2 linked regions of the Anolis sagrei genome follow. The protein of the gene in region 2 purifies or fractionates together with the protein of the main gene of each other region. This does not show direct contact. Links are inferred from orthologs where the notes say so. Each region holds a gene or a part of one and is shown on either strand. Other genes may lie near its edges.

Evidence for each region.
Region 1: the proteins of NPM3 (region 2) and NEPRO purify together in Homo sapiens (affinity purification with mass spectrometry; 4 studies listed by BioGRID and IntAct, with this or other methods). This does not show direct contact. The link is inferred for Anolis sagrei from reciprocal best matches to the Homo sapiens genes NPM3 and RMP64.

Annotation. Positions count from the first base shown.
Region 1 is NC_090023.1:40,823,182-40,833,460, forward strand, and holds the start of NEPRO (nucleolus and neural progenitor protein), read left to right. Parts: upstream 1-5,661; coding exon 5,662-5,782; intron 5,783-5,792; exon of another isoform or gene 5,793-5,862; intron 5,863-8,277; coding exon 8,278-8,432; intron 8,433-9,308; coding exon 9,309-9,385; intron 9,386-10,279. UniProt on the Homo sapiens protein: May play a role in cortex development as part of the Notch signaling pathway. Downstream of Notch may repress the expression of proneural genes and inhibit neuronal differentiation thereby maintaining neural progenitors.
Region 2 is NC_090023.1:216,716,923-216,727,328, forward strand, and holds the start of NPM3 (nucleoplasmin-3), read right to left. Parts: upstream 4,479-10,406; 5' UTR 4,428-4,478; coding exon 4,352-4,427; intron 1,432-4,351; coding exon 1,346-1,431; intron 184-1,345; coding exon 64-183; intron 1-63. UniProt on the Homo sapiens protein: Plays a role in the regulation of diverse cellular processes such as ribosome biogenesis, chromatin remodeling or protein chaperoning. Modulates the histone chaperone function and the RNA-binding activity of nucleolar phosphoprotein B23/NPM.

The DNA of each region.
Region 1 (10,279 bases), about 180 Mb from region 2:
TTTCCGGGCTGTATGGCTATGTTCCAGAAGCAGGTCTGTGGGAAACTAGGCAAACGGGGTTTATATTTCTGTGGAATGTTCAGGGTTGGAGGAAAGAACTCTTGTGTGTTTGAGCCAAGTGTAGATGTTGCAATTGGCCACCTTGATTAGCACTGAATGGCTTTGCAGCTTCAAAGCCTGGCTTATTCCTGCCTGGGGGAATCCTTTGTTGGGAGGTGTTAGCTGGCCCCGATTATTTCCTGTCTGGAATAGCCAGACTATAAGATTATTTGGCTTCAGTATAGAAATTTACTCAAAAGTGAGGTCAAATGCAGTAAAATCTTTAAGAAACACTATACAAAAAACTACAGCGATTAGGAAAGACGTAGAATATGAAAACCAACATAGAATTAAGAAAAACATGAACACACATATTGGAAACTTCCTGATTTTTCCTTACCAATGTCGTGCTGTAGACTGAAGGACACACTACCATCAGAATGGATGTAGAGGTTGTCAATATCTAAAATTATCATGTGCAAGACAGAATCCAGTCCTTGAGCTAAAATCTGTTTCATCTTATAACAAGACTGGAAACAAATAGCCCAAGCCTGTTCCTCATTTATGGGCTGCTCATAATATCTCAGAAATTCAGCCAGTGAGACCTTTGTGAGATCCTTTGTACACATGACTGCGTTGCCAGAATTCTTCCCCCCTTCCATTGCTATGTTGTATTACTTTTAAGTATTTTACAACTAAACAACAGTAAAAGGCCTTCCTGGGATCTCCTTTATTTGTTCATAAAAGGTCTCCAGCAGGTGTGGTTGGTTTTTGGAAAATAAATGGAACTGGCTTTATTAAAGGGCAACTAACGACTTGCCCAGTCTCATCAAAGTGAGTTTGCAGCAATCAAGTCTAATTTTATAAACCCTCTAAAATCAGCACAGTAAATAAAGAGCAACACTCAAAAAGCAGGGAAATTCCATACAAGAGTCAGTCAGGGCCAGCTAACACCTCTCAACAAAGGTTTCCCCCAGGCAGCACCAACCAGGCTTTGAACCTGCAAGGCCATTCAGTGCTCATCAAGGTGGCCAACTGCAACATTTCCACTTGCCTCAAGCAGACAAGAGCTCTTTCTCCCACCTTGGATATATAAACTTCACTTTCCTAGTTTCCAACAGACCCCTCAACCTTTGAGGATGCCTGCCATAGATGTGGGCGAAACATCAGGAGAGAATACTTCTGGAACATGGCCATACAGCCAAGAGAACTCATAGCAACCCGGTGATTCCGGCCATGAAAGCCTTCAACAACAAATCAAATGTAATTTCAACATTTTCATTATGTATTTATTTGAACAGGCATCCATATATCTACAGAAGTAATAAAACATTTATTCATTTTAATTGACTCACTTTCCCACTAGCATAGTCTTCAGATACAAAGACCAAACTACAGCAATCCTTAACAAGGCAAGAAAAATCAATGGGGAAAACTTTATTCTCCTCTGAATTAATGGCTGGAGGACATAAAGGGGTGCATGAAGAAAAACAAATTGAAATTGATCCACATAAGACAGAGGTATTTGCTGTCAAGGGATGGAGCTGTGTCAACCAATTCTGGATGGGGCGACACTCCCCCTGAAACACTGTGTTTGCAGGTTGGAAGCCCTCCTGGATCCGTCTCTTCATATGACAGCCCAGATAGATGCAAAGATCAGAAGTGCTTACTACCAGTTTCAGCTGATATGCCAGCTGTGGCCCTTCCTAAAATTCGAGGACCTAAAGATAGGTAGTTCATGCACTAGTAACCTCAAGGCTGGACTTCTGCAGTGCGCTTTATTTACATTGAGTTACCTCTGAACCAAATTCAGAAAAGCTAATTAATTAAAAACAAGTATTGTCGAAGGCTTTCATGGACGGAATCACTGGAATGTTGTATGGACGTGTAGCATTTTCTACTGACATTTCACTGCATCTGTGGCTGGCATCTTCAGAGGTACTTCCGAGTAAACGTTGTGGTTTGTTTGGGGGGGGGGGGGAGACTCTGATAGTGTTGGGTATTTTCAGGACCAGAGTCTATGGATATGTGATTTGGACAACAAAAGCTTATGTAAAAACTACATTGAATTTATTGCTACTTCATATTTACTGGGAAGAAGCCCCCCCCCCCCCCCGTATTCTGAAAACACCTCATTCTCAACTACTTCAATGCAGTCTGCTCCTAGACCACAACTTTCCAAACTTTGCATAGCACCAATGTAAAGAAAAATGACAAAAATCTTACAAATCATGTATTGGTAAAAAAATGTAAATGGAATTTTTTCATGAGATATGTTGTGTCCCCATACAGCTTGTTATTACAATTTATGTGTGTGTCCATATCCCTTATAAGGGGTTGGTTTAACCCCCAGTTTGCTAGTGAAACTGAATTACTGTGTCATTAAATGACGCATGTCTAAAACGTGTGTCACCAACATGAAATCTTTAGGAAAAGTTCATTCTAGGCTATGAACTTTAGAGTATTTGAGCACAACTGTTCTTATCTGATGATTGCATCTTCAATCCTGTTATGAGTTTGGCTCCTTTAATTACATTAATTCTATATTTCTACACAATATCTTTTAAAAAATGTTTTTATTGATTTTCACAAAGTTTACAATAAAACATTCATTCATAAAAGGTTTCTACACAATATCTTTAAATACAGCTGTCAGCATGTTTTGCCTGGCAAACCTCATTGGAAACCAGCAACATAAAATGTGCTTAATAACCTTTAATGTTAGGGAATGTTTTCCCTGCATACATAGAAACCACCAAATGCAGCATTGCCTATTATTATTATTTGAAACACAACAAGATTAATACACAGCAAACAAGATCACTATGCTGGCTGTTGTATTGAATCACACGTTGGACACTTAATAATAAGTGATCCAATTCAACAGCCAGCATAGTGATCTTGTTTGCTGTGTGTTAATCTTGTTGTGTTTCAAATAATAATAATAATAATAATCATCATCATCATCATCATCATCATCACACAGACCTAGACGCTTGGGAAGTATTTGACTTTTGATTTTTTGATATGAAATCCAGCCTATAGATCTCATTTGCTGTGACATACTGTGCTTTTGTGTCAGTAAAACAATACACCATGAGTAACAAAATTTGGCAACCCACACTTTTATAGAGGGACACTGCCTGCCATAAACATCATAAACTTCCCAAGTGTCTAGGACTGTGTGATGTATCAGTGAATAATGCATGTAGATCCCAGTAGAGTGGTCTTTTGCAGCTGACAGATGGTAATTTTGTCAGCGCCGATTGTGTTTAAGTGCAGGCCAAGGTCTTTAGGCACTGCACCCAGTGTGCCGGATGCCACTGGGACCACCTTTACTGGCTTGTACCAGAGTCTTTGCAGTTCGATCTTTAAATCCTATTATTATTATTATTATTATTATTATTATTATTTGAAACACAACAAGATTTGTACACAGCAAACAAGATCACTCTGCTGATTGCTGTATTGGATCACATGTCGGACATTTCTCGAGTGTCTAGGGCTATGTGATGTATCGGCAAATAATGTGTGCAGATCCTGATAGGGTGGCCTCTTGCAGCTGACAGATGGTAATTTTATCAGTGCCGATTGTGTTTATGTCCATGCCAAGGTCTTTAGGCACCTCACCAGTGTGCCGAACACCACTGGGACCACCTTGACTGGCTTGTGCCAGAGTCTTTGCAGTTCGATCTTTAAATCCCATTATTATTATTATTATTATTATTATTGACACAAAAGCACAGTATGTCACAGCAAACGAGATTTATATGCTGTATTTCATATCACAAAATCACAAGTCGAACACTTCCCAAGTGTCTAGGACTGTGTGATGTATTTTCGAATGATGCACGCAGATCCAAGTAAGGTGTCCTTTTGCAGTTCACAGATCATGATTTTGTCGATGTTTATTGTTTCCAAATGCCGGCTGAGATCTTTTGGCACAGCACCCAGTGTGCCAATGACCACTGGGACCACCTGTACTGGTTTATGCCAGAGCCTTTGCAGTTCAATTTTGAGGTCTTGATAGCGGCTGAGTTTTTCCTGTTGTTTTTCCTCAATGTGACTGTCACCCGGTATGGCGACATCAATAATCCAGACTTTTTTCTTTTCCACAATCGTGATGTTTGTTGTATTGTGTTCCAAAACTTTGTCAGTCTGGATTCGAAAGACTGAGTTATTATTATTATTATTATTATTATTATTATTATTATTATTATTTGAAACATAACAAGATGAGTCCACAGCAGAAACTCTGCTGGCTGTTGAATTGGATCACACGTGGAGAGATTCCATCTGAACATGAGGAAGAACTTCCTGACTGTGAGAGCCGTACAGCAGTGGAACTCTCTGCCCCAGAGCGTGGTGGAGGCTCCTTCGTTGGAAGCTTTTAAACAGAGGCTGGATGGCCATCTGTCGGGGGTGATTTTATTATTATTATTATTATTATTATTATTATTAAACTTTATTTGTACCCCGCTAGCATCTCCCGAAGGACTCGATGCGGCTTACAAAGGCCAAGGCCTCAACACACAATATAACAATACAAAACCTAAGGCAAATTAAAAACAATTAAAGCAATATAAACCACAAACAATAAACAATACACTAAGACACAATAAAACTGGGCTGGGCCAGAGTAATGGGTACAGGATTAAAAGTGCTGATGTTACAGGTGGTGTATAAGGCATTATAGGGCAAGTGCAGTGTGCGGTATGCAGCAATCTTAGTTCTAGTAAAGTGCTTATGGGACTTGGTATTGGAGATTTCCTAATTTGGGAAGGCACATCGGAACAGCCAGGTCTTCAAGTTCTTTCTGAAGACTGCCAATGTAGGGGCCTGTCTAAGATCTTTGGGGAGGGTGTTCCAGAGTCGGGGGGCCACCACGGAAAAGGCCCTGTCTCGTGTCCCCACCAAACGTGCTTGCGATGCAGGTGAGATCACGAGCAGGGCCTCTCCAGATGACAGAAGTGAACGCGTGGGTTCGTAGATGGAGATGCGGTCACGCATCTCCATCTACGAATATTGATTTGAATGCAATATTCCTGCTTCTTGGCAGGGGGTTGGACTGGATGGCCCATGAGGTCTCTTCCAACTCTTTGATTCTATGTGGGACACTTCCCAAGTGTCTAGGACTGTGTGATGTATCGGCGAATAATATGTGCAGATCCCAGTAAGGTGGCAGATGGTAATTTTGTCAGCGCCAATTGTGTTTAAGTGCAGGCCAAGGTCTTTAGGCACTGCACCCAGTGTGCCAATCACCACTGGGACCACCTTGACTGGCTTGTGCCACAGTCTTTGCAGTTCCATCTTTAAATCCTCGTATCATGTCAGCTTTTCCAGTTGTTTCTCTGCAATCCTGCTGCCACCTGGGATTGTGACATCAACAATACCTTATTATTATTATTATTATTATTATTATTATTATTATTTATTAGACAAAGAAAAGAAGTTGGATGGAGAGTGCTGGAGCGAGCTTTTCCAAGTTCTTAGAGGAAAGTATGCCACAGCGCCTCCTGCCGGCGGCTGAGAGCGAGGCAGAGGAAATGAGCCCTGAACTATGGCTCCCCCTGCGGGACAAAAAACTTGGTTGAGTCTACGTTTATCTCCCTCCCTCCTGAGATGTGGTTTAATCCAGGAAAGATGGCGGCGCCCAGAGGAGAGGAAGAGATGTGGAACCGGCTGCGCGTCCCATGGCCGGGCTGCAGCGCTCCCCTTGCTGTACCGGATCACCATGCTTCGGGTAAAGGGAGGCGAAGGAAGGAGGGTCAGCCGAGGGGGCCTAGGTGCCCCTGACTGTCTGCCAGGCCACGTGGATCCGAGGTGCATCTGGACTGTGGTATTAATCAAGGCAGTGGCGCCATATAAGTAACTAGCTGTCCCCTGCCACGCGTTGCTGTGGCCCAGTCTGTTGATCTGGAAAATAGAGTAATGAGGAAGTTTTGGTTTCTAATATATGTAATTTCTTTTTGCTTGTGGGTAAACAGTATTTCTTGCTGTTTCTTTGTCCGTGTTGATGCAGAGATTATCTGGTTTGCCTACTCTGGAACATGCAACATATCATTGTCCTTCTTTAAGGGTCCCTTTCAAATCTAGGATACTATATCTCTGTGTATGTGAATCATATCTATCATCTATCTATCTATCTATCTATCTATATCTATGGCTCAATGGGTCTTTGTCAGGAGGACTTTGATTATATTTTCTTGTCCTGGTGAAGGGAGTAAGACTGGATGGCCTTAAGTATTTTCTGTTGGTCATGGGGGTTCTGTGTGGGAAGTCTGCCCCAATTCTGTCGTTCGTGGGGTTCAGAATGCTCTTTGATTGTAGGTGAACTGTGAATCCCAGTGACTACAACTTCCAAATGTCAAGGTCTATTTCCCCCAAACTCCATCTGTGTTCATATTTGGGCATATTGAGTGCTTGTGCCAAGTTTGGTCCAGATCCATCATTGTTTGAGTCCACAGTGCTCCCTGGATGTAGGTGAACTATAACTCCCAAACTTAAGGTCAGTGCCCACCAAACCCTTCCAATATTTTCTGTTGCTCATGGGAGTTTTGTGTGCCAAGTTTGGTTCAATTCCATCGTTGTTGGAGTTTAGAATGCTGTTTGATTGTAGGTGAACTATAAATCCCAGCAACTACAACTCCCAAATGACAAAAATCATAAATTTTTGAGTGATGGTCACGCCTTGTGTTGTGAGACATTTTGTTGCCAAATTTGGTGTGATTTCGTTCATAGGTTCTTTTGTTTTTAAGGTACTCATTATGCACAGAGCGTTTTTATATATATAGAGAGACTATGTAGATAATGCCTGGATCAACTTGGACCCTCCCGGTTTTTTGGACTTCAATTCCCACAATTCCTAAGCAGCCGAGGGGAGAAAGGAAAGGGCCTGAGGCTGTTAGGAATTGTGGGAATTGAAGTCCAAAACACCAAAAGGGAGGGCCCAAGTTGGCCCAGGCCTGCTGTAACTGCACCTTGGCAGAACCTGGGCGATTCAGGATTTTCATTGGCTATCGAAGACTGCTTGAACACCAAGCACAAAGTAGCTGCACGCAATAACATCCTTTAAAAACTTACTGGCAGAACATGGGGCGTATACCCAAAATTAATAAGAAGAGCCCTGGCCTTGTCTGGGCATGGCCCCATGTAAGCCACCCCGAGTCCCTTCGGGGAGATGGAGGTGGGTAGAAAGATAAAGTTGTTGTTGTTGTTTTACTCAGCTGCTGAATATGCCTGTCCTATTTGGCATAAGTCTGCCCATGCAAAACAGGTGAACATAGCTTTGAATGAAACATGCAGAATAATCACAGGATGCCTTAAACCTACACCTGTTGATAAACTCTACAAGCTAGCTGGCATTGCCCCCCTCCCCCATGTGTGAAATGTGAGAGGAATAAGGTTGAACACTGTGAAAGCCATCCACTACCAGGCTACCAGCCTCCTCCCAGCAGACACAAATCAAGGAAAAGCTTTATGAGAACTACCACTCCTCTTGATGTCCCCCCAGCTATAGCAAGGGTATCCCTCTGGGCAGCTAAACCAAGAAATCCCAACTGGATGGCCCCCCATGAGGGTCTTCCTTCAGAGGCAAACCAAGAATGGGCAACCTGGAAGTCCCTGAATAGACTCAGAAGCGGAGTGGGCAGATCAAAAGACAACCTCGCAAAATGGCACTACCTAAAAGAATCCCCCATCTTGTGTGATAGTGGAGCAGAACAGACAACTCCGCATCTGTTTGCTTGTCCACTGTGCCCTGCCTCATGTACAGAGAAGGAGTTGTTGGAGGCTACAGACAGTGCAGTTGTTGTTTCCCGTTTTTGGTCAAAAGATATTTAGCCGCCTTTGTTTGACATTTTGGAACACTTGCGTATACAGTAGACTCAGGCCTCATCTGCACTGCCATAAAATCCAGAGTATCTGTTTTGTATTGGATTATATGAGTCTACATTGCCATATAATCCAGTTCAAAGCAGATAATCTGCATTCAGAAACTGGATTATATGGCAGTGTAGCTCCAGCCTGGGGCTTGGTAGATGCTGGACAAATGTTGTATCTGGTTGTATGCGAGTTTCCATGAAAAATAGACCTTAATAATACTGCACCCCATACTATACCATACCGTAAACTGTATTTATTTAGACATCTGATAAAAGACTTCAATGCACTTTTCTTGTGTTGCTATGTGGAAGAGATTCTTGCAAATTTAGGTAATTGTCTTTTTATCTTTTCCAGTGGGATGCTTTGCTGTTGTTAGGAAAGAGGGCCATGCTCTTAACAACATGCTAAGAGATAAAGCCATGGTTGCAGAACAGTGCCTCCTCCGTACTGTCATCTATCGTTTCCGCTACAAGATGAGTCGTCATAAGCCGTATCAGTCTCTCAAACAGGTCAGAATGAGACAGTTGCCTGGAAACATATTTGGACATTGTCTTCTCTATTTCCTGAACAATAGGAAGAACTACCTGATCATAAAAGTTTTTCAACAGTGGAACTCTCTGCATTTGTTAAGGGCTTTTAAACAGAGGCTGGATGGCCATCTGTTGGGGTGCTTTGATTGTGCTTTTCCTGCATGGCAGGGAGTTGGACTAGATGGCCCATGTGATCTCTTCCAACTCTGATTCTATTTGAAACTTTATCTTGAGAAAGAATGTCTGTTTATAGGTATTCATCCTAGGATAGAAACTATTTTTATTCTCCTAAATTTAAGAACTTGAGCTTGCTTTCATTTATTGGAGAAATTATATTGTTCATTGTCTCATTGGGAAAAAAGTGTGAATCTGATAGATTAATGTCTGTGTTTTTTAAAAAGAGAGCCTCAGTTGGATATGTTTCTTAGTCAGTGTCTGAAATATTTCATTAACATAATGCTGTTGTTCTATCTATCTATACACACACACATATGAATGAGTGCGTATTATGCAAACCTCATTTCAATGTGTGTGAATTCACTTACTTTCACAATGCTATAGAAATGAATGAACACATAGCTTGTTGAATAGGAAGTGTTTTTAAAGGGAGCGGCAGTGCATTCTACCTATACATAAGCACTGCTAGTTAGGCTCTGATTTTTCACAGTGACGGGCACTTAACTGACTGATTGTTCATTTGACTTACAGTTATTGCCTTGATGTAGAATAGAAAGATGTCACTCTTGCATAATCTCATACATACTAATTATGGACTTAGAAATATACTGAAATGTGTCTAGATTAAAAGTTTTATTTCTCAGCTAATCTCTTAATGTACTCTTACCCCCCTTCCAGGTAGAACAATGCTTGAAGCGTTTAAATCTAATGAATCTGGAAAAGGCAATTCAAGATCTTACTCAACTGGGCCCCATGTAAGTAGCATAAACTAGATGATCTTTATGGGAGTTTCGGTCTTATAGTGTTTACTTTCCCATGTTTGCTAGGTTACGCACTTAGCTAAATTTATATTGGCTAAAATCCATATAATTCAAAGCAACTAAATTTTTGTCATTAGTGTATTCTGGTGGACCAACTTGATGTAGCGTAAATCAGAAATTCAGCTAACCTATTTTAAATAGCCATATTCTAGAAGCATTCTCTCCTGACATTTCACCTGCATCTATGGCAGGCACCCCCATAGATGCAGTCGAAATGTCAGGAGAATGCTTATAGAACATGGCAATATAGCCCGAAAAACCTACAACAACCCAATGATTCCAGCCATGGAGGCCTTCGACAATACTATTTTAAATAATTCCCATATTCATTTTTGTATACCTACTGCCAAAGCTGCTAGATCACAGTGTGGTGGGATCTCCTTCCCTATGGAAGGCTGAATGACTATATTTCAGAGGTACTTTGATTGTGCTTTTCCTGCATGGCAGGGGGTTGGACTAGATATCCCATGTAATTTCTTCTAACCCTATTATTCTATGATTCTGTGACTTGCCATTTTTAGGTTTATTTAACGTGTAATCAGCAACCATACCATTGTATTACATTTCTAACAGAACAAAACAAACAGATTAAAAAAAACCCACAAATTTTGCAAACTTGGTAGTTGACTAAATGTCCTTTGACCAGTATCTGGCCACTTGGAGTGCCTCTGGTGTTGCCGCAAGGAGGTCCTCCATTGCGCAAGTAGCAGGGCTCAGGTTGCATTGCAGCAGGTGGTCTGTGGTTTGCCCATTTTTAGGTAACTTGTTCCAGATCACTACTCCAAACCACTAGAAAACACTGCAGTTTTCTTGCCTTACCCTCCCACA
Region 2 (10,406 bases):
CCCCAAGCTGAGAACAGCGGTATATAAGCAAAGTAAATAATAAAAAAAAGTAGACCATTTTACCATGGGAAGACACGACGATTTCAGGTTGGCCACTGGGACAGTAACCTCCTTGTTCTGGTAGTCACGTCCCACAAGCTCCACAATGTTGCATTCATCTTTGGCACTTGCTGACAGGCAAACCTTAAAAATAGGAGTCAAAGAAAAAAAGTTGAAATAGCCTCCATTTGCCAAACAATAACATGGACAGCCTTAGGGTGGGATACTAAGATCTCCTATAAATTGGTATTAAAAGGAGAAGTAAAAGGGTGGTTCCTAGCAGGATTTCTCACTCAAAATGTGCTTTGGAGGATTGGGGGATGCTCTGGAGCAAATGTGGGGATTATGAAGAGAGGAGAATGTTTGTTCATTTAATGCTAGGTCAGACAAAAAGCCTCTAAGCCAGGTATGGGCAAACGTCGCCCCAACAAGGGTTCTGGACATCAACTCCCACAATTCCTAACTGCTGGCAAGCTGGCTGGGATTTCTTGGAGTTAAGGTCCAAAACAGCTGGAGGGGTGAAGTTTGCCCAGGCCTTCTCTAAGCCCATTTTTTATTCTCACAATGCCAGACACTCACACAAAACCCCTACACTTGGATCTGCTACCTCCTAATCTTAATGTTAGCCTTGGGAAATAACTCAGTGATCATACCCCTTGTCTACAAAAGCAAGGACGTACAACCCTGACCCATAGTCAGCCTCAGTTACCTAAAAGCAAAAACAGAACCACAGTATTTTCTGAAGGTTAGACTCCCTCTGCTGTCCAGAATTCAATGGCTGCACGCTGCTTAAGTCGCATTGACCGACCGTCTGTGCAGGGTTCCATGCACTTTAACAACACAACCGTTCAATGCTAAGGCTTCCCGCCAAAATGGAACTGTAGAGGACAAACCAGTACCTGCTGCATACCAGTACTGACATCTGTTGAGGAGTTACGAAGGTGGAGGCATTACTTTTCATTCAACCCTCGTACATTTTTACTAGTTTGCTATGAGACCAGTACTTGTGGAAAAGGTGGGGGGACTCTGAGTCTTCTAACCTCTTGGTGGACTGGTTAAAAGTAGGCAGGCAAAGGACAGAGTGTTCAGTCAACTTGGTTAGCTCTCTGTTTTCCATGGTAGTCAGAAAAAGGCATCTCCCTTCTCTGCAGCTAACACAGAAACAAGACTGGATGATAAACAGCTGAAATTAGCCATTCCTTCTCCATTAGAAGTTTTGGTTGACTTGTGGCTATCACAATAAAGTGTTATAACAAGGTTGGTGTGATGTGCTAGTATCCACACCTCAAGTCGGGACCTCTCTTACCGTACTCAGAACGAGGGAATGGTCAGAGTCATCCTCTTCATTCACTTGAAAAGTGAAGGATCGGGTAGCGCTGTTCAACTCGCATCCTAAGGATCAAAAAAACAAACAGCCTCAAATGTATGTCGCACTTGCTAGGCAAGCTTCAAAAGCAAAACTACAGCATTTCTGATGCTGTTAGGAACTGTGGGAGTTGAAGTCCAAAACACCTGGAGGGCCCAAGTTTGCCCATGCCTGATCTAGAGTCTTATCCATAATGTGTATAAGGAAAGTTGAAGGGAGAAGGCCCACAGCTTGCCCATGCCTGTGTTAAATAGACCATTTTGTATTTGAGTGATGGTTGCCTGGTGTACAATAATTTTGAGAATCTACTGTGAATTTTTAAATTGTCTGCATCTTTCAACCTGGGGTCGGGACCCCTGGGGAAGTCACAAGGGGGTTTCAGAGGGGTCGCCACAGATCACCAGAAAACATATTTCTGATGGTCTTAGAAACCCATTTGGCAGAAATGGCTGAAGATCTCTCTGCTTGTCCTTCTCTTCCTTTTGGGAAACAGACAGCGAATCCTCCCACCAAAAGCCCTCCTCCGCTGCGATTGGGCGGCCTCTCAGCCAAGGGGAGGGCTGTTTCTGAGACTCCAAGCAGGGAGTCTCTCCTCTCCCCTCCTTGGGCAGGTGTGCTTGGCGAATTGGGAATTGGGTGAGAGAGAGCGCGAGACTGGAGGGAGGCTCATGCCAGCGAGTCCCTTCAAGGCATTGGAGTTCTGTGTGGGAAGTTTGGCCCAATTCAGTCTTTGGTGGGGTTCAGACTGCTCTTTGAGTGTAGGTGAACTATAAATCCCAGCATCTACAACTCCCAAATGTCAAGGTCTGTTTTCCCCAAACACCACCAGTGTTCACACTTGGGCATGTTGGGTATTTGTGCCAAGTTTGGCCTGGATCCATCATTGTTTGAGTCCATAGAGCTCTCTGGATGTAGGTGAATTACAGCTCTAAAATTCAAGGTCAATGCCCACCACACCCTTCCAGAAAATTCTGTTGGTCATGGGAGCTCTGTGTGGGAAGTTTGGCTCAATTCCATCATTGGTGGAGCTCAGAATGATCTTTGATTGTAAGTGAACTATAAATCCCAGCAACTACAACTCCCAAGTGATGAAACCAATGCACCCCCCTCACCCCACCAGCATTCAAATTTGGGCGTATCTGTTATTTGTGCCAAAGTTGGTCCAATAAATTAAAATGCATCCTGCACTTCCGATATTTATATGATGATTCAGAACAGTAGTAAAATTACAGTTGTGAAGTAGCAACGGAAATAATTTTATGGTTGGGGGTCACCACAACATGAGGAACTGTATTAAGGGGTTGTGACACTAGGAAGGTTGAAAACCACTGTGTTAGGAGGATGTCTGGAAGGGGAAGCAAAGGCAACTGGAAGGCACTGTGCTGCAGTTCTACTCTCCCCAAAGCCTCTGCTTGGCAACATTTGCTTGGTACCACAGGGCTGCTGCTAGAGAGGCAGTCAAAGGGCTATGGGTATGTTTGTACACAATGTCCCCAAAGGACTTGTGCTAGTGTAATTCCAAGTTGTGTTTGCATAGACCAAGAAAGGGATTCCAGATTTGGGGAAACATAAGGTTAGGAATTTTTTTTAGGAAAGAACACAAAACGCGCCACTAAGGAGGAGGAGAAACATTGATTTAGAACAGTGTTTCTCAACCTGGGGGTCACGAGGAGGTGTCAGAGGGGTCGCCAAACAATCATTAGAAAAAAATGTATTTTATGTTGGTCATGGGGGTTCTGTCTGGGAAGTTTGGCCCAATTCTGTCATTGGTGGAGTTCAGAATGCCCTTGATTGTAAATGAACTATAAATCCCAGCAACTACAACTCCCAAATGTGAAGGTCTATTTTCCTCAAATTCCACCAGTGTGCACATTTGGGCATATTGAGTATTTGTGCCAAGTTTGGTCCAGATCCATCATTGTTTGAGTCCAGAGTGCTCTCTTGATGTAGGTGAACTACAACTCCAAAACTCAAGGTCAATGCCCGTCAAACCCTTCCAGTACTTTTTGTTGGTCATGGGAGTTCTGTGTGCCAAGTTTGGTACAATTCCAACGTCGGTGGAGTTCAGAATGCTCTTTGATTGTGGGTGAACTATAAATCCCAGCAACTACAACTCCCAAATGACAAAATCAATCCCTCCTAACCCCACCAGTATTCAAATTTGAGCATATTGGGTATTTGTGCCAAATTTTGGTCCAGGGAATGAAAATACATCCTGCATATCAGATATTTATATCACAATTCATAACTGTAGCAAAATGGCTATTCTGAAGTAGCAATGAAAAGAATTTTCTGGTTAGGGGTCACCACAACATAAGGAGCTGTATTAAGGGGTCGCGGCATTAGGAAGGTTGAGAACCACTGATTGAGAAGATGCTGAAATGCAACTATCTGAACAGAAGTCCATTATAACAGTCTTTGTTGGAGGAGGGGAGATGCCAGGTGTGTTCTGAATGTTTTACACTGACTTTAAAAGGGGGGGGGGTTAGAAAAAGGGATTTCCCCGTTTCCTGGCAATGACTCCAAAAGGAAGCGAGAGAACGCTGCATTCCAGTCTAATGATGGAAGTGTGGCCAGGAAGTGGAAGTTTTCTCCTGGAGGAAAGCGTGGAAACGGGTCTGGCTTCATAGCCCCAGCCTAGATTAAAGAGCCAAGCCACGTGGAAAGAGCAGATGGAGCTCAACCACGTGGGAAGCAGGTTTGGTGGCCCAAGCAGGAAGTTGAGAATTTCGAAGGGGAGTCCCACGTGGCGTGGCTTTCTCGCCTATTTCCTCGAAGCCTTGGATAGGACCTTCCCAACTCCAACCCCGTGCCTGTCCTCCCACCCCAACCCAGTCCTCCCAGCCCTCTCCAAGGCGCCCTTCCCAGTCCCTAAGCCCATTTTGCCCCATCCCCAAACGCTTGCCCCCTTTCCCAGCCAGTGCCACCCCAACACGCCTCGCCTACCGAAGACGAAGTGGCTGACACAACCGGACGCCTTCTCGCCGTCCTCCGAGCTCTCCAGGTCCAAGAAGGAGGCCATGCCGGCGCCGAAAGAGCGAGGAGGGGCCCGGAAAGGGCTTAAGCCGCCTCCCGGTCGGGTTTACGCCCGCCCTAAACGCCCACTCTTGGGAGGTCCTGGCTTGGAGGAAGGAGGAGGCACCGCTTCCCCAATAGGAAACGCTGGGGAGGGTTGGGAGAGGATCCTCAAACCCTCCCCAAGCTTTTCCAACTTGAATGTATTGTCGAAGGCAATACATAACCGGAATCACTGGGTTGTTGAAGGTTTTTCGGGCTATATGGCCATGTTCTGGAAGCATTCTCTCCTGACGTTTCGCCTGCCCCTATGGCAGGCCATCAAATGCTAATCAAGGTGGCCAATTGAAACATTCCCACCTAGCTCCAACAGGCAAGAGTTCTTTCTCCCATCTTGGACAGATATATAAACCCTATTTTCCTAGTTTCCAACAGACCTCGCAACCTCTGAGGATGCTTGCCATAGATGCAGGCAAAACATCAGGAGAGAATGCTTCTATAACAGTGTTTCTCAACCTTCTTAATGCCATAACCCCATAATACAGTTCCTCATGTTGTGGTGATCCCCAACCATGCAATTATTTTCGTGGCTGCTTCATAACGGTAATTTTGCTACTGTTAGGAATCGGAATGTAAAAATCTGATATGCAGGATGCATTTTTATTCACTGGACCAAATTTGGCACAAATACCCAATACGCCCAAATTTGAATACTTGTGGGCTGGGGGGGGGGGGTGTTGATTTTGTCATTTGGGAGTTGTAGTTGCTGGGATTTATAGTTCACCTACAATCAAAAAACTCCAATGATGGAATTGAACCAAACATGGCACACTGAACTCCCATGACCCACAGAAAATAGTGGAAGGGTTTGGTGGGCATTGACCTTGAGTTCTGGAGTTGTAGTTCACCGACATCCAGAGAGGACTGTGGACTCAAACAATAATGGCTCTGGACCAAACTTGGCATGAATACTCAATATGCCCAAATATGAACACTGGTGAAGTTTGGGGAAAACAGACCTTGAGATTTGGGAGTCGTAATCCTGAGATTTCTAGTTCACGTACAATCAAAGAGCACTCTGAATCCCACTAATGATACAATTGGGCCAAACTTCCCACACAAGACCCCCATGGCCAACAGAAAATACTGTTTTTCAATGGTCCTTGGGTACCCCTCTTGACACCCCCTTGCGACCCCTCCAGGGGTCCCGACCCCCAGGTTGAGAAACACTGTTCTAGAACATGGCCATATAGCCAAACAAACCTACAACAACCTATTTTCCAAGTTGCGTAAGAGAATCTGAAAAGAAACATGCATTGGGCAAAGGGTCTAGGGATGCATAGAAAGGGTGAAATTAATGCAGCTTGACACCATTTTAACTGCTGTGGGATGCTGAGAGTTGTAGTTTGGTGAGGCACCCGCACTCTTTAGCAGAGAAGGTGAAAGCTTGTGAAACTACAAGTCCTAGGAGTCCTTTGCTTTTATTTTCCCAGCCAAAGTAGCAAAACAAGCTGATTGCCCTAGAAGGGCTCCAAGATAAGTAAGTTTGGGCAGAGCGGGGGCTGGGCAAGGGAGAACAAGGTATAGGATTTGTTAAGTGGGTGGTATTAGCTTCCCTTAGACAAGGATGCTGGAGCATGCAAAATCATTTGGTGGTTTTTTTGTTGTGTCAGGAGCAATTTGAGAAACTGCAAGTTGCTTCTGGTGTGACAGAATTGGCCGTCTGCAAGGATGTTGTCCAGGGGATGCCTGGATGATTTGATGTTTTTTATCATCCTTGTGGGAAGCTTCTCTCATGTCCCCGCATGGGGAGCTGGAGCTGATAGAGGGAGTTCATCCGCCTCTCCCCGGATTCGAACCTGCAACCTGTTGGTCTTCTGTCCTGCTAGCACAGGGGTTTAACCCACTGTGCCACCGGGGGCTCATTTGGTGGGTATGTTAACAGAAAAATGCGAAGTAGGAAGCTCATTGGTTGAGCCATGCCCCAAGAGGCTAGCTGAGCCTGGGAGTTTTGGCAAGTTACATGTTTAAGTTTTTCTGTGCAGGAGCTTGCCAAGTTTTGAATTTTTGCTTCTGAAATGTGTGATTCACAGGCTGACCATGCGGGGAAACCATTTGAATCTTATTGGACATTGTGAGTCAATACAACTGTTCACATGACTGTATATATGTTGGTCTGCATAAAAGTAAACACATTCTTTACTGATCATCCGTGTGCAATATCTTTTCTCTAGCAAGACTGTGTAGATTGGTAAATGTGAACCACACGTGATTTCCATTCCGCCACAAAGGAGGCCTGTGGCATCTCTCTGGGTTCAGTTTGAAACTAATGCAGTTTGAAACTATTTTGAGTGCTCTGACTTAGTGCTATGGAATTGTGGGAGTTGCAGTTTGGTGAGGCACCAGTACCCTGTGATATTAGGAATAGCTCCTCCCCCTTTTACACAAAATGGAATGAATAAGGAATAGGTGCTCTCCTCTTTAATATGTTAGGCTGCAGTAGGTAATGGGGTCCACAGTCCAAAATCAGGGGGGACATCCATTTTCTTATCTGCAAAGCAGGTTGCTTAAGACATCATATTGTCAGATAAGGCAGGGCTTTCTTAACTACAGTATCTGTGTACCTGCATTTCCCTTACCCCCATTTTTCCTTTCTTTTCTTAAAAAATACCCAACAGCTGATGGCTAGAGACTGAGGCCCATCTATGGCCCACCTCTCTAAATAGCCTTTACCACAGGGAGCCCCCGGTGGCGCAGTGGGTTAAACCCCTGTGCCAGCAAGACTGAAGACTGACAGGTTGCAGGTTCGAATCCGGGGAGAGGTGGATGAGCTCCCTCTACCAGCTCCAGCTCCTCATGCAGGGACATGAGAGAAGCCTCCCACAAGGATGAAAAAATATCAAAACATCCGGGCGTCCCCTCGGCAACCTCCTCACAGACAGCCAATTCTCTCACACCAGAAGCAATTTGCAATTTCTCAAGTCGCTCCTGACATGACAAAAACGAAAAAAACCCACAGGCCTACACAGCCTGTGGCCCTCCAGGTGTTTTGAACTTCAGCTCCTAGAATTCCTGATCATTGGACAAGATGGCTAGGGCTTCAGGAAGTTGGAGCCTCAAAACCAGAAGCCCAGAGTGTGCAAGCCTGCTCTCCTGGTTACATGATAGTTTTCATTCAGTTTTAAGATATATAGTGTACATTAATCTCAACAGCTTGCAATGGAAGATAATGTAATTCATCCAAAATAGTATAAATTCTGGTTGTGTGTTCAGATGACAAGACTTGATCAAACTTTAGGAGCTGTGTGGATCAACACAGCGGTTGCAAATGGATACTCCATTAATTTCTTGGCTTACTGTCTGTTATGAACAACCCCATCTCTGATTGCAACCATCTGTTTAGGCCATCAAGACTACTTCTAAAAATTATGAACATAAGGTAAAAGATTTCTCCTCACCTGTCATAGCCTACAAGGCATTCTGGATCCTTTCCTCTTGCTTCCTTGGAAGGCTATCGACACCAGGCACCACAAACCTTATTTTCCTGTAGAGATGAGGCTTCTTATAGTAATCCATATGAAAGTTTTAACAACTCATCAAGCCCAGTGGCACAGCTTAACACAGCTCACCAAAATATCAGGTGGCCTCCCACAGAAAGGTTGCTTTTGGTGAGACCTGGTCGATTTCCCAGCTGTGGGCAAAGGCAGGGGGTGGCTTTCTGCATGTCAAATTTGTAGTATTTTATTTCTGTGCAGTAAAAACGAATGGGTTATTATCCCAGTGGGAAACTGATGAGTTTTCCTGGTAGCTGCTTTCTGCTGTCAGATGTTAAACGATGGAACTCACAAAGTGCTGGGGATGGAGCAATCCCAAAGCTACCCCAGACAGCAGACATCCTACCTCTTTTCAGCGAGGCAGTTTCCTTCCTGTTCTGTCAGATAAAACGTCTCAAAGAGTTTTGAAGACCAAAGCATTGGGGTTTTCCACCTCCAGATAATCTGCATAGCATGCTTGTTCTATTCCATCTTGAACCCATATTCCATCAGGCTGCAAAGATAACAACTTCTGCATCAAATATGGGCATTAGGTAATATCTCAAACAGTGGTGTCATCATTCTCCAAGTGAAATATGATCCACTATATTATATCCACCACATGGGTGGTAATATGTAGATTAACTAAAAGCAAACAGGGGAAATGGTCTGAATGTATTAAAAACGGGAGTAAACTTTTAATCTCAGGTAGCTCCACCTCTCTCTTTCAGTCTAGCCTGGCTTGTCCCTTTTTTATTCAAGAGATTTCTCCCACTGACATCTGGAATAGTTATATCTAGTAAATCACCTCTTTTCCAAACATCATCATTCTACTTTGAAAGTGATGGGGGAAGATACAGCAGAACAGTCGTATTACATTTCCATATCATTTCACTCAAGGATATTTGACTGCTTCCCACTAATATCCCTGCACTGCTTTCTGACAGGCTATCCCTTTCATATAATAGTACATATTCTTTTGACCGCAAACTAAACCAGATTTTCAAGAAGCCTGTTTTTTAATTTTTGAATACATGCCACAATAAACTACAGTTCCCTTGCTGCTCAGTAAGAGATAATATCATGAATTATTCCCCAAATGCAAGAAAGAAATGTGAAACTTTTTCAGCAGACTATTCCAGAACCACTTGCCTAAAACTTATTTTTGGCTTTTAAAAAAATTATACTTTCAAATATGACTTTGAGAGGTGATGTAAGACCCATGGGTGCACATATGCTTTGTAGCCAAAGTAACTATGTAAAGGTAAAGGTTTCCCCTGACATTAAGTCTAGTCATGTCAGACTCGGGGGGGGGGGGGGGTAGTGCTCATCCCCATTTCTAATCCAAAGAGCCGGCATTGTCCATAGACGCCTCCAAGGTAATGTGGCCAGCATGACTGAATGGAGGGCCGCTACCTTCCCACCAAGGCAGTACCTATTGATTTACTCACATTTGCCTGTTTTTGAACTGCAAGGTTGGCAAAAGCTGAGGCTAGCAGGAGGAGCTCACCCCACTCCCACCCACCTTTCGGTCAGCAAGTTCAACAGCTCAGTGGTTTAACCCACTGCACCACCTATGTAAACCCTTTTAGTAACTTAGGCTTTCAACAATTTCTCAAGCTGGTGTGAGGAACCATCTCTTTTTTTTATCTGCCAGGAAGCAGTATGTATTTATGGCTACTGACTCCAGCCACTTCTTTCCTGGAAACGTGCATAAACTAGCAATGGTTCACAAGCCACTCTTTTGAGCAGCATTGGTTTTGAGTATTGCTACCATTCCACAATTAGGCAGGATGTACACATCTGAAGAACAGGCAAATTGCAGTTCTCTTCAAAATCTCTCAACCCAAGTCTACACTTGCACGAGTAATACAACAGGACATGTTAATAACCTTTAAACCAGGGGTCCTCAAACTAAGGCCCGAGGGCCGGATATGGCCCTCCAAGGTCATTTACCTGGCCCTTGGTCAGGGTCAACCTAAGTCTGAAATGACTTGAAAGCACACAACAACAACAACCTTATCTCATCAGCCAAAAGCAGGCCCACACTTTCCATTGAAATCCTAATAAGTTTATATTTGTTAAAATTGTTCTTCATTTTAGTTATTGTATTGTTTTTAAGCGTTTTTTGCACTACAAATAAGATATGTGCAGTGTTCATAGGAATTCGTTCATTTTTTTCAAATTATAATCCGGCCCTCCAACAGTTTGAAGGACTGTGACCTGGCCCTCTGTTTAAAATGTTTGAGGACCCCTGTTTTAAACCTTCCTGGGGCTTGTTTATTAAAAGCATGAATTTCAAAATAGCTGACTAGTCAAGGGACAATGAAAGCACAGTCCAAGTGTGGCCAAATCCAACCCACTTGCCACATTAGGACAAAGGCACTCTCAAAAGTAATACACACTCCCCAGGTTCCAAGCTGAAGACTTTATTTAAGATAAGGAACATGGGA